2 linked regions of the Saccharomyces cerevisiae S288C genome follow. Changing the gene in region 1 together with any one later gene gives a genetic interaction. Each region holds a gene or a part of one and is shown on either strand. Other genes may lie near its edges.

What was found. Genes that interact genetically often act in the same process or in processes that back each other up.
Region 2: mutations in EAF5 (region 1) and CSF1 together harm fitness more than expected from each alone (negative genetic interaction), as found in Saccharomyces cerevisiae (6 studies listed by BioGRID, with this or other methods).

What each region holds. Positions count from the first base shown.
Region 1 is NC_001137.3:117,797-125,440, forward strand, and holds EAF5 (Eaf5p), read left to right. Parts: upstream 1-3,674; coding exon 3,675-4,514; downstream 4,515-7,644. Other genes in the region: PXP1 (putative indolepyruvate decarboxylase family protein), read right to left, coding at 821-2,503; SUMO ligase MMS21, read right to left, coding at 2,702-3,505; PMP2 (proteolipid ATPase), read right to left, coding at 5,002-5,133; GTT3 (Gtt3p), read left to right, coding at 5,861-6,874; nucleotide diphosphatase/phosphodiesterase NPP2, read right to left, coding at 6,941-7,644. UniProt on the Saccharomyces cerevisiae protein: Component of the NuA4 histone acetyltransferase complex which is involved in transcriptional activation of selected genes principally by acetylation of nucleosomal histone H4 and H2A. The NuA4 complex is also involved in DNA repair.
Region 2 is NC_001144.5:310,388-317,281, forward strand, and holds the start of CSF1 (Csf1p), read right to left. Parts: upstream 5,345-6,894; coding exon 1-5,344. Other genes in the region: GPI-anchor transamidase subunit GAA1, read left to right, coding at 5,720-6,894. UniProt on the Saccharomyces cerevisiae protein: Tube-forming lipid transport protein which provides phosphatidylethanolamine for glycosylphosphatidylinositol (GPI) anchor synthesis in the endoplasmic reticulum. Required for the glucose and other nutrients uptake at low temperature.

The sequences.
Region 1 (7,644 bases):
GAGTCCGACCTAGGCCGAACTCCGTGAATTTCTGATAACAACGGTCGGTAAAGACTGGTTCCCCAGTATATTTCTTCTCTCAGGAGCAGGGGCCAATGCCAAAAGCGACATTAACCCGGAGGACAAGGCTCCACTGTGTTCCACCGAATTTCCCACCTGATAATATCTGATAACCCGCCCATAGGTGGGGATCCTTCTGTAAACAGGTTTCTTAATCGTAGGAATTACCACTGTTCCACTGCCAATCGCAGCTCCCAGAGTTTCGTTCCCAGCCGCGAGCACCACAGCGTACCATGTGCGCCACGAGGCCTCAAACGTAAAACAATCGAAACGAAAAGAAACAGACTATAGGGGAGTATAGAGACAGCCGGCCAATAAGAAGAGGAAAAAGAAATACTAGCGTTTATCAATGTGGGTCGTTAACATATCCTGTTGACAATGATTACAGGTTAAAAGGTAGCGTAAGTGAATATTAACTATGGATATTCTTATACTTAGATAAGAGACATATAAAACACACGATGATTGATTGATTTTTATGACCAATATATGTAATTCGTAATTCAGATAGTTTTTATACTTTTAATGTGTGCCGAACCATATTACTAGTATATGTAACTACCATGTTATGTTCAATTGGCAGATCTTTAACTCGGCTTTAGTTATCCAAGTTACTTGCAATATTTCCTTCTGCGAGAGTACATTTGCCCTTAAACGTATACGAGGTATTCATTAATGTGTGTTGTAAGTATTTAGATTGACATCTATAAGAGAGATGAACATATATATATATATATATATATATATACATGCATATTTACTATAAACGCGGTTTATTCTGCCAGGCAAAGGCAATTTGCTTTTGTTCGCCAGGCTCAATGATAACGTTGATGACACTTGTTTCTCTTTTAGTCCGAGAAAGCTGCACGGCTTGTTGGAAGCATCTGCTCAGTTCGCTTATTGTGTTGACAAAAAAATCATTGGCACCCAGTCCTTTGCCTACGAGATCGTAACGGCAGTTCTTGCTTAGTGCCGTTGGAGGTAAATCACCCTCTATATCCTTTTCTCCATGGTAAATACCGCTATTGTTCATCACAACGATGACCAATGCCAGCTGACACCTTACTGCCGTTTCAATTTCCATGGCAGAGAATCCAAATGCGGAATCACCCTGAATCAGCACCACATCGAGTTCCGGATGAGATGCCTTGCATGCAAGAGCATATCCGAGCCCAATCCCCATAGTCGCGTTGGTCCCTGCGTCTAAACGGCGCCTTGGAGCGTCTGTAGGGAATGAAATACGCGCAATATCCATAGTATTTGCTCCCTCCGTCACAAGTATTGTCCTGTAATCATCGATAAGAGGCCTCAATGTTCCATAAACCTGGTTGTAATTCAATTGTGCCCCTCTAGTCTTCTCTTTCCTCAATAGACGAGTTTGATTCAGTTGAATTTTCTCTCGTATTTCTTGCTTAACACCACTATACTTCCAGCAGGAATCTTGGCGAGTCAATTCCTCAACTAAAGCGGTTACGCTCAAGCCTATATCTCCCCATATGGAAAGGTCAGCACCAGGTGAGACATTGTTATCCCCCAAGGTTTCGGGATTGGAATCGAACTGGATGAATATGGATTCTGAGTTCCATTTGGGTGAAGTACCAAAATGCAATATCCAGTTTAATCTTGCCCCGAGAACAAGAACAATATCCGCTATTTTCAATGCTTGAGATCTTGCAGATGAAACGTTCAGTGGAGAAGAGTCTGGGACAATTCCCTTAGCCATTGGGGTGGGTAAAAATGGTAGATTGAACGTATTTACTAGTCTGCGGATTTCGTGTGAGTTTTTTACCGCACCCTTTCCAATAACAATCAGAATATTTTTATTTTTATGTTGCAAAATAAGCTGTACGACTTTTTTGATCTTCGACGGATCAGGGCCACATATGTTTGGAGTTAATATCATCGGTAATTCATTTCCTGTACGGTCGTTTCCTTCTAAGGGTTTTTCATACTCAATAAAATCTGCAGGGACGTCTATGTAAGAAACCCCTGCAGTGCCTTGTATACAGTAATTCAAAGCCTTCTGAGTAATCATGTCAATATTGTCAGGGGTTAACTTTCCGGTAAACTTCAAAAATGGGGACAAAAGACTAACTTGATCCAACTCTTGAAACCCGCCTTTATGTATATCACTTTGAGAAGAACTCCCTGCAATTACTAGAAGAGGCCACCTATTACTCATTGAGTTGTATATACCAGCCAGTGCGTGGATTAAACCGGGGCCCCCGACAATAAGTAACACGCCGGGCTTATCACTAATATAACCATAAGCAGAGGCTGCATATGAGGCAGCCTGTTCGTTCCTGCATGGAATGAATTTGATACCGTTGGCAACCATCGTATCCGCTAGTTGGACAATAGGGATGCCCACAATTCCAAAGACTGTGTCGATGCCATATTTTTGTAAAAGTTGAGCGAAGTGTTGGGTAGCGGTCGTGGTCATATTGATGGATGGTTGTGACGGTTTGAATGTAGAGAGTATATTCTTCTTATCACATAAAAGTAACCAATGCCTTTTTTTTCCTTTATATATAATGTGGTTATATACCAACCTTTTGTAAATTTCCAACTTTTTTCTTTAGTTAGCTTTGCTTGAACTTCGGGCCGAAGGGCTCGGATAAGAGAAACAATAATTTTGTTTTCATAAAACATCGATGGCTTGACTACTTCTTTTATCCTGTTCCTGAGATTCTTTCATCTTGGCGATCTTACACCTTAGTTCCATAATAGGGTCTCTTACAAAATCCCTCATTGAAACGACTTGAGAACACGCTGCTTGCGGGCAATCTCTTGTCGTGTATCCTTGTAAATAGTTTTGAATGCCGTCTCTATCGAAGACGTGATTACATTTTCTTGATATCAATGGTGCTTCGTAAGGTTTGCAGGTGATAGGACAAGTCAATTCAATTTTACCACCTTCTATTTGTAGATCGTCTTCGTCTGCGGGGTTTTGCAGATCCGGTATTACACAAGTTGGATCATTCCATATGTACGGCAACACTTTTAGTATCTTGAGTGTATCTGTGTTATTAACCATGGTTGCAGGCTCTGGTGTGGGCATATTTAGATATAATTCAGATAATTTGGGAGCGGTGAGTTCTCCGGTACGATATTTATCCCAGGTAGAAAGGTCGATTTGCGGACAGGCATCTGAGGATTGTTTGAAATTTTTTTTTAAATCTTTAATATGTTCGTCAAATGAGTTGGATTCCGATTCGTATGTCGAGAGGAGTTTGTAGGTGCTAGTAATATCTGCGACCTGCTCTTCAATGCCGATGGTGGAAGGAGATGTAGAATCCACTAATTGATTTATGGTCTCATCAATTTGTTTGTAGCATTGTTGATATATATTTGATAAGTCTCGGGCATGTAAATTATGGAAGTACTTACCTGATTTTGGGTGTAGAGGAACTGACTTGGGTATAGGATTATCGTTCAAGGCCATTTTTAAAGTTATTCTTTTTTTATATAGTCTTGCCTTGGTTTCTTTAACTGACACGATTATTTTAGCAAGTTTTTTTCTACACAGGAAAAGAGGAAGAAAATAACCAGAGAAGCACTGGTAAAAAGATACTTCTGCGTGCCGGAGTAACCAGAATCAAAGGAACGCATAGATGGATAAAGAGGTAAGTGAATTGGTAGTGTTGCAGCTAATACACACTTTAATTTCCAACAAGAATGAAGAACTGGTTAGGAACGGGGGAGGAATCAACATGATTGGGAATAATCTTCGAATATCGCTAGTCAAGTTGACTAACGAAATACAAAACAATTTGCTAATCAACGAGCTGACAAATTTAAGAAGGCAAAGCAACGTGGCAAATGGAAACAGGAAACTGGGCATCAACGATATCCTGACCATAGTTAAGAATTTATTCCCAGAGTACAGAACAACACTAAACGATGGACAACTTAGTCTACACGGTTTGGAAATGCATGATATCGAGAAGCTCCTTGACGAAAAGTACGATCGATTCAAGAAAACGCAGGTCGAACAAATAAGGATGATGGAGGATGAGATATTGAAGAACGGTATAAAGACCGGTGCATCGCAACTGCAACCACATGCAAATGCTGGCAAAAGTGGATCTGCTGGTACCAGTGCTACTATAACTACGACTACGCCACACATGGCGCATTCAATGGACCCAAAAAGAGAAAAACTATTGAAATTATACAGAGATACCGTTCTGAATAAATTGGAAAGTAAAACTGGGAATTTTCAGAAGCTATTCAAGAGTCCCGATGGTAGCATTATCAAGAATGAGATAAATTACGAAGACATAAAGAACGAAACGCCCGGCAGCGTTCATGAACTGCAGCTGATTCTTCAAAAGAGCATAACGGACGGTGTAATGCGAAAGGTCATTGGTACGGACGACTGGAAATTGGCTAGACAAGTGCAGTTTGAATTGGATGATACGGTGCAGTTCATGAGAAGAGCACTAGAGTAAGGAGATAGTAGGCGACACTTCGAAAATCTAAAGTCTTGTAACATTACTATTATATACTATTTTATTAAAAAAATACACACACAATTCTTTAACAGAACAATATATAACAAATGAAGCGACATGTTTCTCAAAAAAAAACATAGTAGGTAGGTAAAAATGGGAAAGAACGGGACAAACAAAACGAAGAGCAGGGTGTATTTGCCCACACACGGCAAACAACATCCATTCACGCCCGCATGCCCAAAACTTTTTTGCGATAAAACGCCCACGCAAATCACATCGTTCCAACAGAGGAATCGAACAGCACAGATACAAAGTAGGAATATAGCACACACACAGGAAAAATTAATTAATTATTAGAAATTAAAAGGGTTGGGGAGAAAAGAGGTCTAATTTATTCATTAATATTCAGTAATTGAAAAAAAAAAAAAAAAGAGGATAACTAAGAGAAAACAACATCAAGCTCGTTTGGCTTGCTAGTGATCGCTTAGAATCTTTGTAAACCTCTTTGTCTAGCTTGCCATTTTCTGTAGATAATGGTAGAAATGATGGCGATACAAGCCAAACCGACTAGAATAAAAACTAAGATAACACCACCTGGTAACGTGCTCATCAACATCTTTGTATAATTGTTATTGTACTATTTATTGTTTTGTATGTATACGATGGAGAAAAAGAGAAAGGAAGAAGGAAGGACGAAAGAGAAAAAACTGGAAGGGAAGAAGAATTGATTTTATATTAACCAAGAGGAAGGAAAGGAAATTGAGTTGTGATTACGGAATTTTAGTTTTTTTCACTGTTTATTTAAACCAAAAGGTGTGGAAGAGAAAGAGAGAAAAAAGTTCTGTAATTCGTTAAGGAAATTAAGTATCCGCGCCGGAAAAATAGCGAGAGGTTTTTTTTGATGCAAAAGCTAGGGAGGGCTGCGGACGGATTTCGAAAACAGCTCAACAGCGTGGTGACGAGTTGCGTCAGGGTGTTGGCCAGTGCTACCGCGGGCGGCGCTGCACAGGGAGTAAGCAGAGCGGGCTAGAGCGCGGTTTTGGAGAGGGCCCGGGCTGCTGTGGTCGTAGGATTGCGGTAATTTAGTGGCTCGCCCTCGTTTGTCGTGCTTTTTCCGAGTTCCGAAACTCTTTCCCGAGCTGTTAATGTGCTAAAAGTGGTAAATCGTATATGATGATATACGTATATGATGATAATTTCCTGCGCGCTACTTGCGTGCATTCGTCACTCATAACAAAAAGAACTACACAATACGTAAACAACGTGCGAAAATATCTATATACAAGGGGAGAAAACAAAAGTGAAAGTGCATTACAGCCCATCACAGATCATTATAATACAATATGCCGACCAAGTCAACTTTTAGTCGCTGGAAGAAGGCGGACCTAATTGACCTGGCCAACAAGCTGGAAATTGACGGCTTCCCCAATTATGCCAAGAAGAGTGATATGATCGATTACCTCGAATCGCACTTGAATCATCTTGAGAAACCTGTGGATTTTAAAGACGACTACCCGGAACTAAGGTCCTTTTATGAGTCGATGACAGTGGACCAGTCAAAGGATGAACGGAACGAATACGGATCCGGATCTGGAAACGGGTCTGGGTCTGGATCCTGTGACACCGCCACAAATGATTCCGATCTGGAGAAAGCGTACATCAAGGAGGATGATGATGAGAAACCGCAATCAGGCGATGAAACAAGCGCGACAAAGCCGCTTTCCAGCAGGAATGCAAATTCAAACGCCAAAACGAACTTCAATTTGTTGGATTTTAGCACAGATAACGACTCGTCCACCTCTGCGTTTACTAAGTTCAAGTTTAACTTTCAGGAATACCTCTCCGATATTAGATACCAAACGCAGAAATTGAATGAAAATGTTCAGGACTATCTTTCCACTATTTCCGCCGTCGATACGATTTTTTCCTTGTTGGAATTCTCTTTTCTGGTGAGAAACATATTAGCCGCCGGGCAGCCAACTTCTTCTTCTTCGCTCGCATCGTCGCTGGAAGCCGCCGTTGCCGCCCATAATAAATATCAATACACGCTCGATTTCTGTTTACCAATACTCACGTGGCTGCTCTTCTTTAGGGGTATTCCAACGTTAGTGTCATACTACATCAACTTCATCCGCTACGACCTGAACATCGAGTTGGACCCGATGACTTTCAATCTCACGAAATTCTTGATTTCTTTGGCAATCTTCAAAACTTGTAATAATAAAAACATAGATTTCCATTCTTTTCGATGTGTTAACCAACTATGGACACAACTCTGTACAGTGAACCGTTCCCTTGGTATGGTACCTCTAGTATTCTCCATGGTTAGTTGTCTCCTCACTCTATACGTATTATAGTATATTTTCTTACATACGTATACACACGCGTACGTAAGCCGCGAAGTGTGTATTTACTACTCTGTATTATTGTAATAAACTCTTCTCCTTCTTTGTCTTTTCTTCTCCCAAAAGCGCACTTGCCTTGATCAGCATATTGTATACTTCGATGTTTTCAAATGGAGGTACGACTTCATTGTTGAACATCGGACCCATTCCAATGAATATAGATGCCATATCACTACAGTTGTTAAAGTTGTATCCATGTGTGCCCATAATGCCGATAGGCACATCACCCATTTCTTTTACAATGGCGTAGTATTCATCTGCGAGAATCCAGATATCGCCGACCCTATCGTCATATCTGTGCTTTCTGTTATCGTATTGGAAATATTTCCAGCTCGGGTCGAAATCTTCTTTCAGGATCACGTGAAACTTCCTCGATATTTCATCTCCATATGCTTTCTCTAACTGAGCTTCAATCAAGTCACAAATCCATTGCTTGTCTCGAGGGTTTTTCAAACATACCATCATCATGGGGCCCTCGTTATAAAGATGCGAAATAAATGCGCTCATTGCGTCGGCCGGGAACACCCTTTCCCACACAACAACATGCTCACCGTCATTCGCGTTGACATTGCTCATGCCATGGTCACTAACAATCATAACATTGCTAATTTTCAACAAGTTTCTTTTTTGCAGGCCTTCAATCAAATCGAGAAAGAATCCATCGACTTCACCGATCAGCTTTTGTAGCCGCTTATCTCGTAAATCGTATCCAAAACTGTGTC
Region 2 (6,894 bases), on another chromosome or scaffold:
AACATGACAAGACTGTATTAATTTTCTGGTCGACAAATTGGGACTTTTTCTTTGATTTAGGTTTAAACTTTATGCGCTCTTTAATCATCATCAGACTTTCCCTAATTTCAGTAATAGCGGTTACTAATTGCTCAGTTGAACTCATTGCTCTAAAATGAAGATCTGCGCACTGGTTGTTTATCAGAATCGTAGGCTTGTGTGACCATGCCTCAGTAGTCGCTAAAACTGAAAAGTCGCGCAGTTGAGCTTCTCCCAAAATGACAGATGTGTGTTTTAACCACACTTCCGATTTCTGGGAAAATATAACCAATGAACCCGCTTGACTAGTTGAATCTTTTAGATTTTCCCATAGTAAACTAACTCTACCCCCAACTGTTCTACTCATCAGCTTCGTTTGGTCCATGACCAGTTGCAGTTCACTTTTATCCACTAATAAAACGGTGTTCATTTTGAATTGCTTTGATAACTCCTTTTTTGGATCACTTTTGTCATCTTCGCCCACTGCTGCAATGAGTGGAATAAGATCTTGCAATTTAAGTAACCTATCACTGAATTTTCCTTTTACTGAGCCTACTCTTCCCGTAATTTCAATAGTTTCTTCTCGATTTGAAGGTAAGCTTGTCACCGGAGGCGTCAAATCCACTACCAGATTGGCATCCGCAACAACAAAATTATGCTCAACCTCATATCCCTCACCATAAACAGTAAGGTAAAATGATCCCATGGTACACTTCAACAATTTTTTAATCAAATTTTGTTTATGTTTCTCATTTTCTGCCGTGAATAATTTGCCGTATATATACGACCTTGCAACATCTGAGAACTCCCAATTTCTCCAAGTCGAAAACACAGACATGAAGATATTTTTTGCATCTTTAGCAGAGGTATATTTCTTTTCTTTTAGCACTTCGTCGATGTTGCTTTGCCAATCATCAGGAAGGTACGTTAAAATGTGTCTCAGACGCGTAATAATTTTCCAACTACGATTCTCACGCACATGCCCTTTGGAAAGTCTCATAATAAAAGCAGGTTTTGTTATGACGTAAGGATCATGACTAATTTGATAATATTCGCTTGCGGCTGTGAGCTTTGAAATGAGTTCTGTCTTTGAATTACTTCTGGTGTTCTGAATAGAATTAAAAGAAGTGCAAACCTCTTGAATAAGATTTCCCTGGTCACTACAGTACTCAAACAGCCATTCCATTTGAGATTCGTCTATGGTAATATCTGATGACGTTAAGTTTAATGAGTTAACTTGTCTATCTTCTGTAGAAGACCATACTTCGAAACCCTCAATCCCTAGCGACAGTGCAGGGGGACGATCTTCAGACAAGTCTGGATTTTTCTTCTGGTTAACAGTCACTCTGACAGTTTTTACCTTTGCTAAAGCTGCTACTTCTAATAATTTATTTGTTCGGTTCTTCTCTAGAGACTTTTCACTCATTTGATAATCAATACGATCTAAATAGAGCTCAAAACCTTCCTCACCTGTCTCTTGCCAGATTAAATTTAGATAAGCAATATGGATATCAATGTTTGAAATAGAAGTGATCCCTTCTTGAAGGTTGCTTAATCGTTTCACAATCCCAATTTCAATATCGTCTAAGACTTGTACCATGTTTTCAGAGTAAAGCTGTTCTAATAAACTCTTAGCGAAAATAAAAAGCAACGGGTCGACATCCAACAGAATATATGAAACATCAACAACATAGTTATCCCTTTCGTGGTTTCTGTCTTCTGTAAAAGCGACAGGTTTGAAGCTTGAAGGGTCCGCTTCTTCGTCATTATCATCTTCACTGAAGCTGGCTCTTGAAGGCTCCATAGTTGATGGAGTTTCTGCGAATATGTTCTTGAATGGATTTGTGGTCTCCAGAAGGGTAGCATACTCGCCCACAATATCTTCAATGATATAATCTATAGTATCAGGCAAAGTGGGAAGAGGTAAAGTTGGGATAGACGAAGATGGTGCTATAGCCCCGTACAGGTTTTGGTATGTATCCGAATCCTGATAGAACAGCGGAAGAAGAAAAGGACACCTATGATAGGGTGAATCGTGTATTGTTATATATCTGCGTTGTTCTGATCTTTTTTTATCGATATCCTTGTATTGCTCAAAGTTTGTAAATCTTAATTTTGTTTCGAATTTGAGAAATGATGTGTCTACGCCATCGCCCATCACGCAATTTAACGAAATTGTCAATTTTGGAATTTTCACGTCTATTCTTTGTGAATATTTTTCGTTTTCAAAGTCGATCAAAGTAAACAATATCGATTCAGCACTAATAACTGATTGAGATTTCATCACCGGATCTTTAAGGCCTATTCTTATTTTTTCAACGTGCACGGTTAGCGAGGTCATATCATTAATGGTCTCAGTGTCATATAATAATATATTTTCCAAGTCATTGTAGCCAAAACCTATCTTATAAAAGGAATTAAAGAATCCCTTTATAAATTCAATATCTGAATCAATGCATAAATCTCCGAGATTGATATCCCATTGACAAAAGTAGGTAGGTTCTGTGGGTGGTAATCCATACATTCTATGTCCATGAATGGTGAGGTCCGAAAGCAATCCGTGCTCTTGCTCATCAGCTCCGTTATTACGACGTATAAAATCAAATACTTCATTTATTTGTTTTGAAACGTGCCGCTTTATTGAAGTCCCGTTGAGAACCGCCATTATGTCCATATAATAATTACAACTTCTGAAATCCACTACAAGTTCGGCAAAATGTAGTGCAATGCATGGATCAAAACTGTAAATCGTTTCTGGTAATATCAGAGCACCATCCCAAACCGAAAATGTGAACCAAATATCAGTTTCGTTGGTAGTCCTTTTCAAATCTGACCTTTTCATAGGACCTTTATCCTCAGATTCGTTCTTTAGACTGCTATTTTGGTACCCTGAATCTACAGTAGATGCCAAATCTGCCACCGAGCTTTTCGTAGTGACATCTCCGACTTCCCTAGCGCCAAGGACACCTGTGTACTCTTCTGACGTCACAAAATTAAAAAATTCACCGAAGTAATTCATCTTTACGTTTGTTAAATACCTCATGACAAACCCATAGCAGTGAAGTACTGTACTCTTGCTGTTACACTCTATGACTAGCGTATCGACATTATCAATATCTAACTCGGAATAGAGAAGGTAAGAACCTTTAATTGTAAAGTCGTATGCTCTCCCCACTTCTTTATGTTTCATGAATTCGTTCAATGTATTCCAAGGGGGGGTATTTAACATCATTCTGAACATTGGAGTTGAGATCTCGTAGGACATATCTGTGTATGTCCCCAAAATACTCTCACGGGGTACCGTGACATCAATTGAAAGCTTATCACCATGAAGGGATAAATAACAGTTTTCGTTAAAATCTAACGGATTGTTAACAATATTGTGATCATTGACGTTTAAGTAAATGGAATATCCTTCCATTTCCCAATTGACTTTGTATACGAATGGTCTAAAAAGTTCGTAAGGCGTAGGATCACCAGCGGAAAAGTCTGAAAGCGTATCTGCAACTAAAGTTATATGCTCACGTAGCAGAAACGCCTCTAATTGTTCTGACTTCATGTTAATTATCCATATAGCTTTGCTATTCCAACCCAATGGATATCCAATATCCCCATCAATATCGAATACCTTGCTTTTTAACAAAATATCGTGATTAACACTTGACCTAATTTCGGTTTCCAGGAAATGAACATGGAAATTATTCTGAAAACCTTGCACTGTAGGACAAACACTTATATTGAAATTTGCATAGGTGTCCTTACAAAATCGGAGATCCATCCATCCAAATGGCCTATATTCTTCATTAGTTTCTTTGTAGTGTTTCAAAAATTCGGGGTCTTTGCTACTTTCCCTCGTCGGTATACGCCAAGTAGTATCTTCCATTATTGATATATTCATCCTGAAAAGTGTATATATTCTTCTAGAACCTGGCGGGAGTTTTTTTATAGGTTTGGCTGTCCTTGAAACTACCGGTGATAGAACTCTTTGTAGATGACTGACTTGTCTTTGAGCCCAAGGTCCGTAACAGATGGATCCTCCGTGAATTTGAACATCTAAAGCAAAATCTGGAGGTGCTCCGTTATTGCCCACATCTGGTCCATCAATATCAGGTATTGTCGGATGTGCACCATGTGGCACAACGCCCGGAACATCCACGTCATATGCAATTGTGACCTTTGGGCATTTTAAAATTGATGTAAATTTAGCATATTCATGGTTCGTCAAATCGAACTCAACATCATCTAAATCACTTGCTTTAGCGTCGCCCGCAGAAGCCTTATAAAGAGATAAACCTTTCCATTTATGATAGAAATTGTCATCTGATGTGCCTGCGCTTTTTTTAGTCTTTTTCGGTACAACAGGCTTGGTTACTATCTGAAAGACTCGTACAAACGTTTTCCATAACTTTGACACTTTCCCTCTATCTATTTTAAACTTCAATCCAATAGCATCATCGTAACCAATATTTTGTTTGATAGAAATTTCGAAGTTTTTGAATTCCATCTGTGTTTTATTTCTGTATAAATCTAATCGCTCTTTTGGAGGTAAAACATCTATTATGCCTTTTCCACTTTCATAACTTAGAATCATAACAGATGGCGTGAATTTGTTTCCTAACAGTAGGGAACCGCGGCTAAATTTAAGCTCAATTGGTAAAAACATCAGTAGCTTTGGATGTTTGCCGATATCTGTTTCTTGGTAGTCCCTGTCATTAACAATTGATGCATCAGAGTTCGTTGTGTATGCAGATTCGCTTAGATCTTCATCTAATTTATCAGCACTACTTCCATCGCTAAAAGGTTCAGGAAAAGAATGCTCATTAAGGTATTTTTCAAATTTATCGCGTTCATCTTTTGATAGTAAGTTTATAACATTATCGTACGCCACTGTTCTGTTGTAAATAAAAATTTCTAGACCTTCACATTCTACGGAAATTTTACAGGGAAGCTTTGCTTTTTTGCCAGAAGAAGACTTGTTATTCTCTATCAATTCTGCTTTTCTGCAATTTAAAAGCCAGTATTTCCATGTTAAACTACCCTCTAATACCGAAATTGTATAATCTTTGTGTATTACGGAAAGGTTTTTAAAATGTATTCGACCACCTAGTAAGGAGACACGAAGTGTCTCAACATTTATCTTGATTTTCGCTCGTTTCCATAGTAGCCATTCTAATATAAAACTTACAAGGTATGCATAGATTCTTCCCATGTAGAATATCATTGTCAAACATACTACTACCGTGAGAATCCAATCTACTAAAAAGACCCAGCTAAAGTCCTTTTGGTGTGTCAATGGAACACCACGTAATTGTGAAATAGCTTCCATGCTTGCTAACTTATTACCGTCAATAGAAGACTTGAGTCAGGTGGCTTTAATGAGTACTATTCTTTTTTTTTTTCCAAAGAGCACTATGTTGATAATACCGCAGTAATTTTTTTTGAGTATCCTGTAGCCTAGAAAGGTTGAAGCTTATAAAACCGTGCCAACAGCTTTATAGTGGGGAGTTTGGCTTCCCTCTATTTGTATATTGATCGCCATCCCTACGAAGTTATTGGGAACGCATCGTGAACCTCTCACTTTAATGCCAGCGGTAGAAAAAAAAGTCATAAACAATACACGCCGGCTACACTTAGAAAGAAATGACATTTGCTGTCTTATAAAAGGACTTGACAGACCAAAGACGCGTATAATACACCAAGAATGGCCTTATTGGAGAAGTTGCATCGAAGGATTGTTGATATGGGGCTTGTCCCGCGTATAATCGCCTTATTACCAGTTATTTCCATGCTATGCGCTCTATTTGGGTTTATTTCTATAGCTATTCTGCCTATGGATGGACAGTACAGAAGAACATACATTTCTGAGAATGCATTGATGCCTTCACAAGCGTATAGTTACTTTAGAGAATCTGAATGGAACATTTTGAGGGGCTATCGATCTCAAATTAAAGAAATGGTAAACATGACTTCTATGGAAAGAAACAATTTGATGGGTTCTTGGTTACAAGAATTTGGTACTAAGACTGCTATTTACGAAAATGAACAATATGGAGAAACATTGTACGGTGTAATGCACGCTCCTAGGGGTGATGGAACAGAAGCGATGGTGCTTGCCGTTCCATGGTTTAATTCAGATGATGAATTCAATATTGGCGGCGCAGCTTTGGGTGTATCTTTAGCAAGATTTTTCTCACGTTGGCCAGTATGGTCCAAGAATATAATTGTTGTCTTCAGCGAAAATCCTCGTGCAGCATTAAGATCATGGGTTGAGGCATACCATACTTCCTTAGATTTGACTGGTGGTTCCATTGAAGCTGCTGTTGTGTTGGATTATTCGAGTACGGAAGATTTCTTCGAGTATGTAGAAATCTCATACGACGGTCTGAATGGTGAGCTGCCCAATTTGGATCTTGTCAACATCGCTATATCCATTACGGAACATGAAGGTATGAAAGTTTCTTTGCACGGTCTACCCAGTGATCAGTTAACTAATAATAATTTCTGGTCAAGATTAAAAATATTATGCCTGGGAATAAGGGATTGGGCGTTGTCCGGTGTTAAAAAGCCCCATGGTAACGAGGCATTTAGCGGCTGGAGGATTCAATCTGTAACATTGAAAGCACATGGAAACAGTGGTCATGATATTACTACATTTGGACGTATACCCGAAGCAATGTTTCGCTCTATTAATAACCTTTTGGAAAAATTTCACCAATCGTTCTTCTTTTATTTGTTATTAGCACCACGTCAGTTCGTATCCATTAGTAGTTATTTGCCAAGCGCTGTGGCTTTATCTATAGCATTCGCCATAAGTTCATTAAATGCATTTATAAACAATGCTTATGCAAATATATCCTTATTTTCCGAGTATAATTT